Linked DNA regions of Tamandua tetradactyla. Each later gene encodes a partner of the first gene's protein in a complex. Links are inferred from orthologs where the notes say so. Each region holds a gene or a part of one and is shown in the gene's direction. Other genes may lie near its edges.

Region 1 (7,337 bases):
ATAAAAAAATATTTATTCCTTCTAACCTCCAACGTTCTGGTGCAGCTAGAAGGAAAAATCTGAGATGACGGTATGGTAGCCCATGACAACCTCTGAGATCTGTCCGGTAACTACTTGAAGAGTGCTTTGAAAATTATTGTTTTCATTCTTTGCTTTGTATATATGCTATATTATACACTAAAATTGTTTTTAAATTTAAAAAAATAATAATACTATGACCCCATACAGAGAACTTCAATATACCCCCACCCTCTCCCAGATACCCGAATTCAATTTTAACATTTGCCACTTTGACCCTATCATCCTCTCTATCATTTATCTATCCATTGGTCTATCGAGCATCGATCTCCTTTCGGAACATTCGAGAGCAGGCTATACACATAACACTCCTTGAACACATAATTCTTCCATGTACATTTTCTACAAAGAAAGATATTCATTTAGGTGGTCACCTTAAGTACAGTTATCAAGTCCAAGAAATCTAACGTTGATAAAAAGTTTACATCCTATATTCCAATTTTTTTCTTCTGTCCCAATAATGTCCTTTTGAGCCTTTTCTCCTCCATTCTTAAACTCCATCCAGTATCTGTATTGCATTCTAATTGTCATTATCTCTTTACTTTCTCTTTCTTTTTGTTTTAATTGTGGAAACATAAATAACAGGAATCTTGCCATCCCAACCTCTCCGGACATGCCATTCCGCCGGATGAATCACAGTCACAAAGCTGCGGTCCCTTCAGGACCGTCCTTTACCATTACCTCTCCCCTCATCTCAAACGCAAAACCCTTCACTCATTTTGCATTAACTCCCCATAGCCCCTGCCCCCCACCTCTGGTAACCTGGACTCCGCTTTCTGTCTCGGTGAATCTGCATATTCTCTGCTCTTTTATTTGTGGTTACCAGGGGCTTAAATTTACATCCTTAATCTATAAAAACTGTGTTTGCTTTGATACCAAATTCACTTGAACAGTACAAACAAACCATGTTCCTATACCTCTCCATTCCCCACCTTTCTGTAGTTCTCATCACAAATGGCATATTTTATACATTTGCCTTGTAGATCTTGTAGGAAGTAAAAAGTGGAGTTACCGATAGAAAATACAAGAGTACTGGTATTTATATTTACCCATGTCATTCTCTTTACCAGAGAAATAATATCTTTATTTCTTCACGTGGCTTCAATCAATTGTCTGGTGTCCTTTTCTCTCAACCTGAAGAACTCTTTTTAACATTTTTTGTAGGATCTATCTCCCTCAGCTTTTGTTTATCTGGGAATGTCTTCATCTCTCCCTCATTTTTGAAAGACAGCTTGCCAGATACAGAATTCTTTCTTGGCTGTCCTTTGCTTTCTGCAGTTTAAATATGTCTTCCCACTGCTTTCTTGCCCCACTGGTTACAGAAGAGAAATTGGCACTTAATCTTTTTGAAGGCTTCTTTGTGACATGTTGCTTCTCTCTTGTGACTTTCAGAATTCTCTCTTGCTCTTTGCCATTTAAGAGTTTGATTATAACACGCTGTGGGGCGGGCTCATTTAGGTTCATCTCATTTGGAGTTCACTGAGCATCTGGGGTGTGTAGTTCTATGTCTTTCATTAAATATGGGACATTCTCAACTCTAATTTCTTTGAATATTCTTTCTGCCTCTTTCTGTCTTTCTCTTCCTTCTAGGACTCCCACAATGTACATACTGATAAGCTAGAGGCGTCCCACAGTTTCCTCGGGTTCCATTCACTTTTCTTCATTTTTCCCTCTTTATACTTCTTGGACTGGATGATTTAAATGGTCTTATCTTCAAGTTCTCTGATTCTTTTGTTAGCTTTCATCTGCTGTTGGACATTCTAGGGAATTTTAAGTTTCTACTACTGTGGCCTTCAGCTCTGTTTGGTTCATCTATCATTTTCCTGATTTCCTTTCATTCTTTGCCTGTGTTTTCCTTTAGCTCTTTGAGCATATTTAGGACCTTTTTTTTCCTTTTAGTCTTTGTCTGGAATGTGCCAGGTCTATTCCTCTTCACTGATGGCTTCTAATGTTTTAATCTTCTCCTTTGCCTGAAAAACACTTCCTGTTTCTCTGTATGTTTTGTAATCGGTTGTTGAAACCCAGACATTTTGATAATTTAGGGTGTGATCTCTGGAATTTAGACTCTGGAATATCTATTCCTTAAGCTTGTGTCCGGCCACTGTTACAGCAGAGCTTTCTTTGGATGCCAGTAGCTAAGAAAAGGAAGGAGGAGGAGGAGGAAAAAAAAGAAAACACCTTTCCCAATCTTTGCACATTGGTCTGTGGGAGTGCTGCCATTTGGGACTAATCCATACAAGGAGTTTGGAGAATCTCTTCAGGCTAAAACCTAGGGGCCTCCCTGATCCTTTCTGTGCAGGCGCTGAGGCCCTGGGCATTCCCCATTTACACAGTTCCAGACAGGGCCTCTCTCCCAGGAAACAGTCTGTGCACAGCCCCAGGCACTGCGCTGTGTATCCTGCAGCCAATAACCCCTGGCCCCAGCAGTACGACTTAACTGCTCTCCAACAGCGTCTGTTGAACCTACCTGAAGTCTGAATTTGCCACCATTTGTAACATCTGCTCTAGACCATGATAATTTTCAAAATTCTCCTAAAATTCCATGTATAGAAAAGATACTTCACCATTCTAATGTTTCTGCACAGAATAACTTTCTCAACCTCTATCCTTGTTGAATTATTTCAGTTTGTGGATTTTCCTGACCACAACCCAGACAGAATTAATAGCCCTCATCTGAGCCCCTTGGCAATTTGTTCACTTTTGTGTTGTAGTGCTTATCCAAATTGCATTATCGCTGTTTGTCCCTAACAGAGCTCCTCAAAGGCACACATTTATATTCCTATTCTCACTAACGCCCTCAGCACCTGGCCGGGTGCTTGTCGCACAGTAGGTCCTCTGGAAAGGTCCGCTCAAGGGAGGAGGTTTGCTAATCTTAGGTACAGCCGAGGCGCTGGGTTGGCGACCCGGGCGGCACCAACCGGCAGGACTCCCGCTAACCAGTAGAGGGCAGGCTCGCCCCACCGCGGACACACAGCGCCCCGCCGTCTAAGGCCCAAGCCCTCTTCCTAATTTCTGCCTCCCACTGGTCATTCCCAACGCCATCTCCCGCCACCACCAGCTGCCCCTTCTTAGCAGTTCTCCCCAACACGAAACAAACCCACCCACATTCCGGGAGCCGCCCCGAGGCCGCACACCAGCTCCGCACACTCGCTCCGCACGCCGAGAACCACCTTCCTAAATAACCCTTCGGGAACTGAGCTGTTAACTCCGCCCTCCCCCTTGGTCTTTCTGCCTCGGCTAATCTGCTCCCTTCGAAAGACCTTGGGGAGGACCCGGGAGGGGAATCGTGGACGGCCCGGGTAACCGGGACTCTGGGTTCGCCTTCCACTGGAACGCCTTCTGCAAAAACGTGTCACCCTCCCGCGCGTCCCGGACACACGGATCCACACCCTCACACCTCTTCCTGCCGGGATCCCAAACCCGCAGGTCCTTCCCTCTTACCCAGACTGAGTCAGGTAGGAGCGGAGGGACGCGGCCACGGGAGGGGGGCGCCGGCGGCCCTCGGCTGCTCGAACACCCAGCCCCCCTTCCCCGCCTCTCCAGCGAGCCCCTCCTGCGGGCGCGCCTTCTTCAAGCAGGAAACTTGAGGCTGCGGAGAAGCAGGAAGAGGGTCTGGGGTGGGGGTGGGGGCGCCGCGGGCTGGGGGACCCCAGTGCACTGGAGACTTCGGCGTGGTGAGGAAGGAGTTAAGGATCCAGGATTGGCTCTTCTGTCACACAGGCGGGGAGGGGAAGCCGCGGGGAGGGAGGGTTCGGTGTTGGCGCAGGTCCTTACCCCCCACCCAGCCCCACCCCACCCCCCCGGCCGCCGGAGACTAGGGCCGGCCGGACGCCCCTTCTGGCACCCTCCCCGGGGCAGGCGCTCACACACGCACAAACACCCACACTCCTTCCCATTCCTCCCGCGCGCCCTCTCCCATCCTTCTCCCCCGCGCCCTTCCTCTTTCTATCACACGCGCGCACACACACACACACACACACTCACACACTCACACACTCGCTCACCCTCAGATCCTCTCGGCCCCGGCGCTCCTATTCTCGGTCCCACCTGCTCCGCGGCGCCCCTCGCGCGCCCCTCTAACGCCCGCCCCGGTACAGCCGCCCGCCGCGCGCCCTCCGGCCGCCAGACCCCGCCGTCGCAGCGGGGCCCCGGGTGAGCGCCGCCGGCGCTCCCGATGCCGCGGCCCCGCCGCTGAGCGGGTGGGGACCGACGAGGCCATGGTGCGGGCGCTCGGCAGCCACCGCGCCCGCTGAGCCATGCCGGACCCCCGGCACCCGCTGGTCGCCCGCCCGCGCCTGCTCTTGCTCCTGCCGCCTTTGCTGCTGCCGCTGCTCCGGGGCAGCCACGCGGGCAACCTGACGGTGGCCGTGGTGCTGCCGCTGGCCAACACCTCGTACCCGTGGTCGTGGGCCCGCGTGGGGCCCGCGGTGGCGCTGGCCCTGGGGCGGGTGAAGGCGCGACCCGACCTGCTGCCGGGCTGGACGGTCCGCACGGTGCTGGGCAGCAGCGAGAACGCGCTGGGCGAGTGCTCGGACACGGCCGCGCCGCTGGCCGCCGTGGACCTCAAGTGGGAGCACAGCCCCGCGGCGTTCCTGGGCCCCGGCTGCGTGTACGCCGCCGCCCCGGTGGGCCGCTTCACGGCGCACTGGCGGGTCCCGCTGCTGACGGCCGGCGCCGCGGCGCTCGGCTTCGGGGCCAAGGACGAGTACGCGCTGACCACGCGCGCCGGGCCCAGCCACGCCAAGCTGGGCGACTTCGTGGCCGCGCTGCACCGACGGCTGGGCTGGGAGCGCCAGGCGCTCGTGCTCTACGCCTACCGGCCCGGCGACGACCAGCCCTGCTTCTTCGTGGTGGAGGGGCTCTACGTGCGCGTCCGTGAGCGTCTCAACGTCACCGTGGACCACCTGGAGTTCGCCGAGGGCGGCCGCGACCACTACGCCGCGCTGCTGCGGAGCGTCCGGCGCAAGGGCCGAGGTGAGGGGCGCGCGCGGCCGTCGCTGGGCCTCGGGCCTGCTCGCTGACTGCCAGACGCTCCCGCCACTTTTCCCGCTCTCCTCCTCTCGGCTAGGCCCTCTCTTCGGGCGCCCTGTCCAGCCCCGGCCCCCTCTGCCCTTTCTGCCCCCGAGTTCCTAGTTCTGCCTCTTTCTGTCTCCCCTCTCTCCACGTTCCTCTCCTCTCCTCGCCCCACCTCGGTCCCACGGGCTCCTCTGGAGCTAGCAGGAGGGAGAAAATGCCCAGGCGATCCTAACACTTAATAGGCCCCCAGCTTAGCTCCCGTCCCCCTTTCTTCTCTTCCCAACAGCCTTCTCCCTTCCTCCAGCCTCTCCTTCCTTTGCTCCCCCACACCGTCTCCTCTCCCCGGGGGTCTGCTCTCCAACTGGCTCCTCCTTTCCCTCTCCCACCCCTCCTGGCCCCCCCTTCCCCCCCTTCACCTCCACTGTTACCTCCTCTCCCTCACACTCTTCCTTCCCCCCTTCCCTCCTTCCACCACCTCCTCCCTTCTTCTTCGTCTACCTCCTGCCGCATGAGGGGCTGCTACTTACTGCCATACAAGGCTCCACAGCCTCATACCCACCCACCTCCATCTCTGAGCTCCTGCTCCCCCTGCCCCCCGGGGGCCCCAGCATCCCACCCCCATGCCACCCTCTGCCTGGGACCCTGGACTTCTCTTTCTCTGACCTCTCCCCCCACCTCCCCCCCAGTTATCTACATCTGCAGCTCCCCAGATGTCTTCAGAACCCTGATGCTCCTGGCCCTAGAAGCCGGCCTGAGCGGGGAGGAGTATGTTTTCTTCCACCTGGACCTCTTTGGACAAAGCCTGCAAGGGGCACACGGCCCCACGCGGCACAGACCCTGGCAGAGGGGAGACGGGCAGGATGTCAGCGCCCACCAGGCCTTCCAGGTGAGCGCCCAGGCCGCGGGACTCTGAGCTGACAGCACAGCATATCTGGGGCAGAGTGTCTGAAAGGACTCAAAGAAAGCAACTCTTGATACTCATAGGGAGTTAGGTGATGGAGGGCAAAGGGTAGGGAGAAAGATGCAGAGGGCCTGAACGGGGATGGTTGAGAGCCTGGGGGCAAAAAACATCGGAGGCAGGAGGGTGTCAAAGTCCTGCAATCTGGACAGAACTTGGAGAAGCCTCCCCTGGGGCGCCTGCCCGGGAGCAGGCACCACCTCGCTGATGCAAGACACAGGTGCAGTCTGACCTTGAACTAAGCAGAGCGGCTCCGGGAGGTGGGCGTCCAGGTAGCCGGGCCCCAAGGTCCTAAGAGGTCTGGAGTCAGCTGCCAGCTCCCCCCTCTCCACTGACCCCTTCCTCAGGCTGCCAAAATCATTACATACAAAGAGCCAGATAATCCTGAGTACTTGGAATTCCTGAAGCAGCTAAAGCACCTGGCTCGTGAGCAGTTCAACTTCACCATGGAAGACGGCCTGGTAGGAGGGTCCCCTGCCCGGGGGTCTGCCTGACGCAGACCTTAGCTCCCACTCCACACCCTCTGCCAGTCTCCACCCTGCCCTCTCTCCCATCCCAGCCGGCTCAGGTCTCTTCTTCCCTCTCTTCCCATTGCTCCTGTATCCCTGCTGATGGTGGAGGGATGTTTTCAACTTCTTGAAACTCAGGTCCTCATTGGTAAAATGAGTATGACACCGTGCTGCCTGGCTAGCAGGACTCGGAAGTAGTGGTGTAAATGTAAAAGCATCTTCTAGGTCTAACAGCTCTGTCATGTGAGGGTGTAGTTTCCTGCTGTCTTCTTTCAAGCCTACAGCCCTCCCAGTCCCTTCCCCATGACGTCCTGCTCTGGGCCCCTTCCACCTCCACCCAGCCCAGCTCTGCCTGCCCCACAGGTGAACACCATCCCAGCGTCCTTCCACGACGGGCTCCTGCTCTATGTCCAGGCAGTGACGGAGACGCTGGCTCATGGGGGGACCATTTCTGATGGGGAGGGCATCACTCAGCGGATGTGGAACCGCAGCTTCCAAGGTCAGAGCCTGGAGGCATCTGGAAATGGGCTGGGGACAGGGACGAGTCACAGGTACCCCAGCAGGAGGCCGTAAGAGGTCTCTAGCCCTGCCGCACTGTCACCCACACACTTGTCTTCTGCCCCTTTCCGTAAGGAACTTCCACAGCTTCCCTCAGGTTCTCCTTCTCTTGTCTCCCCTAGTTCCACCACGAAGCCTTCCCACAAGCAGTCAACCCCAGTCGTTCTTGCTGCTGAAATGTCTGACCCTTTTATCATCATTCACCACGTGTACACGTT
Region 2 (6,468 bases), on another chromosome or scaffold:
GCATTTCTTGGCTTGTGGCCGCATAACTCCATCTCTGCCTCCGTCACATGACCATCTCTCTGCCTTTGTTTCTGTATCTGTGTTCAGATTTCCTGTCCTTATAAGGACACCAGTCTTATGGGCTTAGGTCCTCACCTTAACTCATAACATATTCAAAGATCCTAGTAACAAATAAGTTCACATTCACAGGTTCTGGGGTTAGGACTTGAACGTGTCTTTGGGGCAGGTGCTCACAATTCAATCCATGACACCCACCAGCAGCCAGCAAGGACCTGGGGCCTCCCGACAGCCACAGGAGTGTGCTTGAAAGCAGAGTCTCCCCGAGCCGAGCCTTGAGATAACTGCAGCTCTGGCAAACACCTTAACTGTGGGAGACTTGAGCCAGAGGCAGCCAGCTAAGCAGTTCCAGATACCTAATCCACAGAAACAATGAGATAGTAAACGTGGGTTTTTTTAAGTTGCTAAGTTTTGGGGTAATTTGTTACGCAGTAATTACTAACTAATACACTATCTTTTTCCTTCACTCTTACTTCCCTTGGATTAGAACCTGCAGAACCTCAGAAGATCATGGTCTTAAAGCGAACCCATTCCTGTGGGTGTAGACCTGTGGTGGGTGGGACCTTTTGATTAGGTTATTTCAGTTGAAGCATGCCCCATGTGGGTCTTAATCTTTTAACTGGAGTCCTTTGTAAGAGAAAGAAATACAGGGAGAGATACACACAGAAGACAGAGAGATGGTCACAGAAGCTGAAAGAGAAAGCCATAGAAACAGAGAGGAAGCCAGAAGCTGGGAGCACTGGAACCCAGAAGAGAAGGGAAAGACCAGTGGATTTCACCACGCGCCTTGCCATCTGACAGAGGAGTCCAGGTATGGTCTGAACGGTGCCTCGATTTGAACATTTTTGTGGCCTCAGAGCCCTAAGCTTGTAAACTAATAAGTTCCCAGTGTTAAAAGCCAGCCCATTTCTGGTACATTATGTTTTTCAGCAGCTTTACCAGACTAAAACAGAACCCCCATAAGGCTCTTAGCAAGTGAGCTTTTGCCTCAAGCTTAAGTTTTTTTTTGAGGAACTGACATTCGCCATCCAGCTGAGGAAGTAGCTTTACCTATTTCCTTCTTCTGCTTTGGGCCCTGCCCCCAACTTCCAGTCCCCAGTGACCTCCTTATGGTACCAAACACACACAGCATCACTTTCACACCTGGAAACACCCATCTCTTAAGTATGCAACGGTGTCCTCCCAGTTTCGCCCCACTGAGTCTTCTGCTCTAGACTGTTTGGTTCTAACAGAATCATGTCATGAATGTGACAGTTTTTCCTTCCAGTTCTGCTCACGAATGATGTTTCTGGGACCTCATGGAGGGGTGGGAAAGCAAACTCTGGGATAGAAATGGGAGATGCTCAAATTCTGGGTTCTCTCACCCACTTGCAATGCTCACATATGACTAAGACTCCTTCTTTCCCGTGATAAAGAGATGCTTTTGATTTTTCAGCTGGTGGGACACATGGGGGTGGGAGGTGGGTCTGATTTTTGTGTCTTTGGCTTTTCTTCTTTCTCATTCCTATAGGCTGACTTTTGAACACCCCCTTAAATATTAACTCCTCCACACACACCCCGAAGTAGAGCAGGGGCATGGAAACAGAGAGAAACTTTACGTCAAGTCATTTTCCATTTCAGGCTGAAATCAAGGGCTTTAATGTGATTTGGGATGATCCACGCATTTGAGGATTTTCTGTGTTTCTGCTGGGTCCTGTTTGGGCAGGTGGCATGGCTGGTTCTGCATAAAGCTTTCAGAGCAGCAAAACAGAATATCCCTTTTCTTGCCAAAAATAACAATAATGATAACAATAATAAGTACCTGGTTGATAGAAGAAACTCAACAAACGATGCTTTCACTCTGGAAAAGGAAAAGTGACCTTAACTAAAGGAAGTGGGGAAATTCTGAAATCCTCTTTCTGGAACCTGGGGTGGGACTTCCACTTCTTCTTGGGCCACCTGCAGACTTCAGAAGTGGCTCAGGACAGAGAAGCAGCAGTGGCCCTCAGAGACATAGCCATTGCTATGATGCCACCCTGGCAGTCTTTGCCTGCATCAAAGGTCTGTCTCAAAGGGCATCTCCAGGAGACAGGCTGTGTGACGCATGCAGCAAGGAGCACCAGTTCCTCCCAGTGAGGCTGCTCGCTGGATCTCCTTTGCTAATAATAACTCTGCCAACTGGGCAATTACACTGTGAATACATTCCAGGAACTGATCAGGACACAACGTTTTTTGCCCCCCAGAATTCCTATTCAGAATCGCATCCATTTCAGATTTCAAGTTGAGTTTGGCTTGCCAAATTAGTGACCCAAATCCCCAAACTTGCTAAAGAGGGTCCCCTTTTCCCTCAGTCTTAGAATAAAATCGCCCTGCATGCTTCTGGTGACTTTTGACCACTCTTGGTCCTGTTTCCCTGCTTTATCATAGTGTAGCGTTCTGTCCATCTGGTCAAACAGGGAGTGTGCACAGCTGGGGAAGGATTTGACCAGGACCAGACTGGCCACTCACACACATTTTCTGAGCTCCCACAGAATAGATAAAAATACATTAGGTGTATAAACAAGTCATGGGGATTGGATGTAGCCCTTTCCTTGAGATCGTCCAAAAGGAGAGCACCCCAAACACACAGAGACACAAAACACACAAAAGAGCTGCCCACGTGTACTTAGAAAGATGGGAAATGGAGGTGTGTTTAATCAGAAAACTGCTCCTAAAGGGTGTCTCATAATCTTCTAGGGTTTCCATCACAAAGTACCACAGATTGGGTGGCTTAAAGCAACCGGAATTTATTGTCTCAGTTCTGGAGGCCAGAAGTCTGAAATCTGCAGGTATCATCAGGGCTATCCTTTCTCTGAAGTCTTTAGGGCTCTGGCAGTGGCTTGTCTGCAATCCATGGCATAACAATCTCGGCCTCCATCGCTGGCTATTTTCTCTCTCCTTGAGTCCAAATCTCCCCTTCTTAGAAGGTCAGCATCATATTGGCTTAGGGTCCACCCTATTCCAATTTGGCCTCATCTCAATCATATCTTCAAAGATCCTTTTACCAAATGGGATCACATTCATGGGTCTGGGGGTTAGGACTTGAACAGGTCTTTTGGGAGGATACAATTCAATCTCTAACAGCTTGTTTGGGAACTGTCATGTCACGTATACTTGAAATAGATTAAGAATCCAGGTGTTAAGATCAGACCCGGGCTCAAGTCCTGGTTTTGCCACTTGGGCAGTTGACACGACCTCTCAGAGTCTCAGTTCTGTCCCCTCATATGGCGACGGTACTACCTACCTCCTGGGAGTTGTGATGAAGATGAAATAATCCACGTGAAGCTCTCAGCACACTGGCTGGCACATCATAATTCACCAAGAAGGGCTACCTTTCCTATGACCTTGCAACTGTATACTTCAAAATGCCTTCAGACATTAGCTTGTTCAAACCTCACCTGTGAGGTGAGCAGGGCAGGTTTTTACATTTCCCTCATTTTACAAAGGGGGAAGCTAAGGCCCACAGACTCGTATAACTGGGCTACCAATGCAAAGTTCTAAACCCATCCAATTTAGTGTCCCCATCTTCCCCTTCCCCCACCATCTGTATGTTGCATTGAATGGTATACTAACGTGCAGTGCTTAGCAAATGGAGGGAAGGGCCTTCATTAAATGCAGACCACCTTGCTGCCTCGTATTTATCTTTCAGGGGCCAGGAAAATTGAAGCTCTAAGTAGTCCAGTCATGTTTTTGGACCGGGAGAACAACACGGAGGACTTTAAGGGAATCTGTGCATTACATTCGCCTCCTATCTCACTCCTTCAGCCAACTCGCCATTGAAGCTTTCCTGGAAAGGTGATGGAAGAACATTGTACCTTCAGACTTAAAGAGTCTGAGCTTCTATATGCAGCAAATGAAACATCAGGATGCTCTAAGCTTCTAGATCCTTATAACCTTGGGGGTGGGGGGTGCTGTGGAAATGTGTGGAAGAGGAAGAGTTTGGAGAAAATTTATGTTCCCCAAATTTTATTGGTGTTTATATGGGGAGCTGAACTTGGAACATTCATAACATTTGGCTTCTGGCTGACTTAGTACTCTAAAAAATAGCTCCCTCTTCACCTGACTGCTGGGAGTGACTGCCAGGAATGAGGGCAGCCCTGTTCGAGGCAAGAAGTCTGCCCGTTCCCATTGATGAGTCAGGTGTGAAGTCAGCTTGAGCATCTGGACTAATTTGTCCCGAACTGTCAGCTGCCTGCCATTTCCTCCCCTCCCGCCCTTATTTGGAGCCCCTGACAGCTGAGCCACAAACAAACTGGGGAAGCTGGGTGCTGGCCAATCCTCACCCACTGCTTCCCCGCATGGGTCCCCTTGCCCAAGAGAAAGAACCCTGAGGCATCGGTGTGAGATAGCCAAAGATTCTTTTTTGCTCTTCTCACACCTTTGAAGTGGGAACCTCTTGAGGCAAATCAACAAGAATGTGGCTCTTGCAGCTGAGGGTCTGGGAGGTTGTAGGGGCTGCTCAAGGTTGAGGGCTGTGACAAGCTCTGCTGGACTGATAACTTTAAAAGGGCATCTTCTGCTGGCTCCTCACTCAGCTGCTTTATCGCTGCAAGTGATGGAATGGGGAGGGTTCCATCTCTCTTGTGCACTCAGAGAGCTGGAAGGAGGGGCTATAAAAAGAGGAGGCACAGGGCAGCTGGGAGACAGAGACAAACGAAGGACGAACAAGGGAAGAAGAGAAGAGATAGAAGAGGCAGCCATTATCAGGTCACTGACCCACTCCAGCATGGGCTTCTTCCCTACCATCTCTGTGGGCTTCCTCTTCTTTCTGGCATTTCAGATTCCAGATCAAACCAGAGCTAACCCTGTGTACAATCCTGTGTCCAATGCAGACCTGATGGATTTCAAGGTAGGGTCAAGAGAGGGGCACAGTTTTGGACCAGGGGGGTTTCTGATACTGGGTTGTTCTTGTTGATTTTCTCCAAGTCAGTGAGTTCTCTCCCTGTATTTTCCCTTTGTAAAGAATTTGCTGGACCGTTTGGAGGAGAAGATGCCTTTAGAAGATGAAGTTGTGCCCCCACAAGTACTAAGTGATCAGAATGATGAGGCTGGTGCAGCTCTCAATCCGCTCCCTGAGGTGCCTCCTTGGACCGGAGAGTTCAGCTCAGCCCAACGAGATGGGGGAGCCCTCGGGCGGGGCCCGTGGGACTCCTCTGAAAGATCTGCCCTCCTGAAAAACAAGCTGAGGGCTCTGCTCACTGCCCCTCGGAGCCTGCGGAGATCCAGCTGCTTTGGGGGCAGGATGGACAGGATTGGAGCCCAGAGTGGACTGGGGTGCAATAGCTTCCGGGTAAGTGGAGTGGGACATGGGAATGGGATAGGGAGGAGAGAAATTATAGCTTTTTTGAGGCTCACACCTTGTCAAAGAACACCATTGGGGGAAACTTCAGCAGGAAAGGAACCAGTGTAGAAGTTTGTTCCATTTGAGTTTTCTGCTCTGATTTGATGGGTGACCCATGAGTCTCAGGATGATGCCAGCATCCTCAGCTACAGCGTGCTGATAAAGTGTAAACAAAAAGCTACTTTCACTCACACTGGGAAATTGAAATGTTCACAAGGCAAGCATTGTGAACTGCTCGTTGGTAGTTCATGTATTGGGGAAAGGGGAACCTCCCTTAGAAATGCAAGAACACGAAATAGCAAATGAAATTGACAAAGTTTGCCTTCATTGACTTCTCATGAGTAGACTGTGTACCAATCATGAAACGCAAAGGGTCATCAGTCTGGGAGTTGGGGGCAAGTGGGGAGTAGATGGTCAGGGGTCAAGTTAAGTGAGTTAGCACAGTCATCTTAGATCGACTTTTCCAGGAAAGCCAGGTCACCAAGCCAAACTTTTGTTTCTCTGTTCTCTTTTTAGTACCGAAGATAACAGCCAGGGAGGAAAAGGTGGGCCAGGCCCCTGCACACTGAGAGAGAGACCTTCATCCCTGGGTCTCTCATGCAACCTTGTCCCATCTCACTGTCAAGTTGAGTTGTGATGAGCACTTTATTCAAGCTGCAGCTTCCTGTCAACATTTCTTGCATTTTTATGCTAACTTTAGATAAAAACAGTTTAATTGTGGCATCCTGTGTCTCCCACCCATGCATTAAATTTTAGGGTAAATTCTCACCTGTTACTGAAAGCAGTTTGAAAATGAATAAACTTCAGCACCATGGACAGAAGGCAAAGGCTTGAGTTGGTGTGATTTGTTTCCGGGGGAGAGAATTCAACCCGATATTCCTTGTTAGAGAGAATGCCCTGTTTATTCCTTTCTCCATCTATTTCTCCCTTTATCCCTTCTTCTTTTCCTCGTTTTTCCTTTTTGCCTCAAACTGCAGTTTTCAACCTGCACTGCTTCTGCTCAGCCCCAGTCAAGAGTCCTGAAAAAAACCCGGGAGATCTTAAGAGCTCTT

Evidence for each region.
Region 2: the proteins of NPR1 (region 1) and NPPA are in contact, whole or in part, in a crystal structure (PDB 7BRG), measured with the Rattus norvegicus proteins. The link is inferred for Tamandua tetradactyla from reciprocal best matches to the Homo sapiens genes NPR1 and NPPA. Residues at the interface, in NP_036745.1 of Rattus norvegicus: Asp90, Val115, Tyr116, Ala119, Pro120, Arg123, Ala139, Leu140, Gly141, Ile142, Val144, Tyr148, Tyr182, Asp184, Leu186, Gly187, Asp188, Asp189, Arg190, Phe193, Phe194, Val196, Glu197, Tyr200, Met201, Arg204, His213, Gln214, Glu215, Phe216; in NP_036744.1 of Rattus norvegicus: Arg126, Ser127, Ser128, Cys129, Phe130, Gly131, Gly132, Arg133, Ile134, Asp135, Arg136, Ile137, Gly138, Ala139, Gln140, Ser141, Gly142, Leu143, Gly144, Cys145, Asn146, Ser147, Phe148, Arg149, Tyr150.

The regions. Positions count from the first base shown.
Region 1 is NC_135330.1:6,498,410-6,505,746, forward strand, and holds the start of NPR1 (atrial natriuretic peptide receptor 1), read left to right. Parts: upstream 1-4,334; coding exon 4,335-5,052; intron 5,053-5,780; coding exon 5,781-5,980; intron 5,981-6,399; coding exon 6,400-6,513; intron 6,514-6,924; coding exon 6,925-7,060; intron 7,061-7,337. UniProt on the Homo sapiens protein: Receptor for the atrial natriuretic peptide NPPA/ANP and the brain natriuretic peptide NPPB/BNP which are potent vasoactive hormones playing a key role in cardiovascular homeostasis.
Region 2 is NC_135328.1:213,613,920-213,620,387, forward strand, and holds NPPA (natriuretic peptides A), read left to right. Parts: upstream 1-4,735; 5' UTR 4,736-4,801; coding exon 4,802-4,924; intron 4,925-5,038; coding exon 5,039-5,365; intron 5,366-5,932; coding exon 5,933-5,944; downstream 5,945-6,468.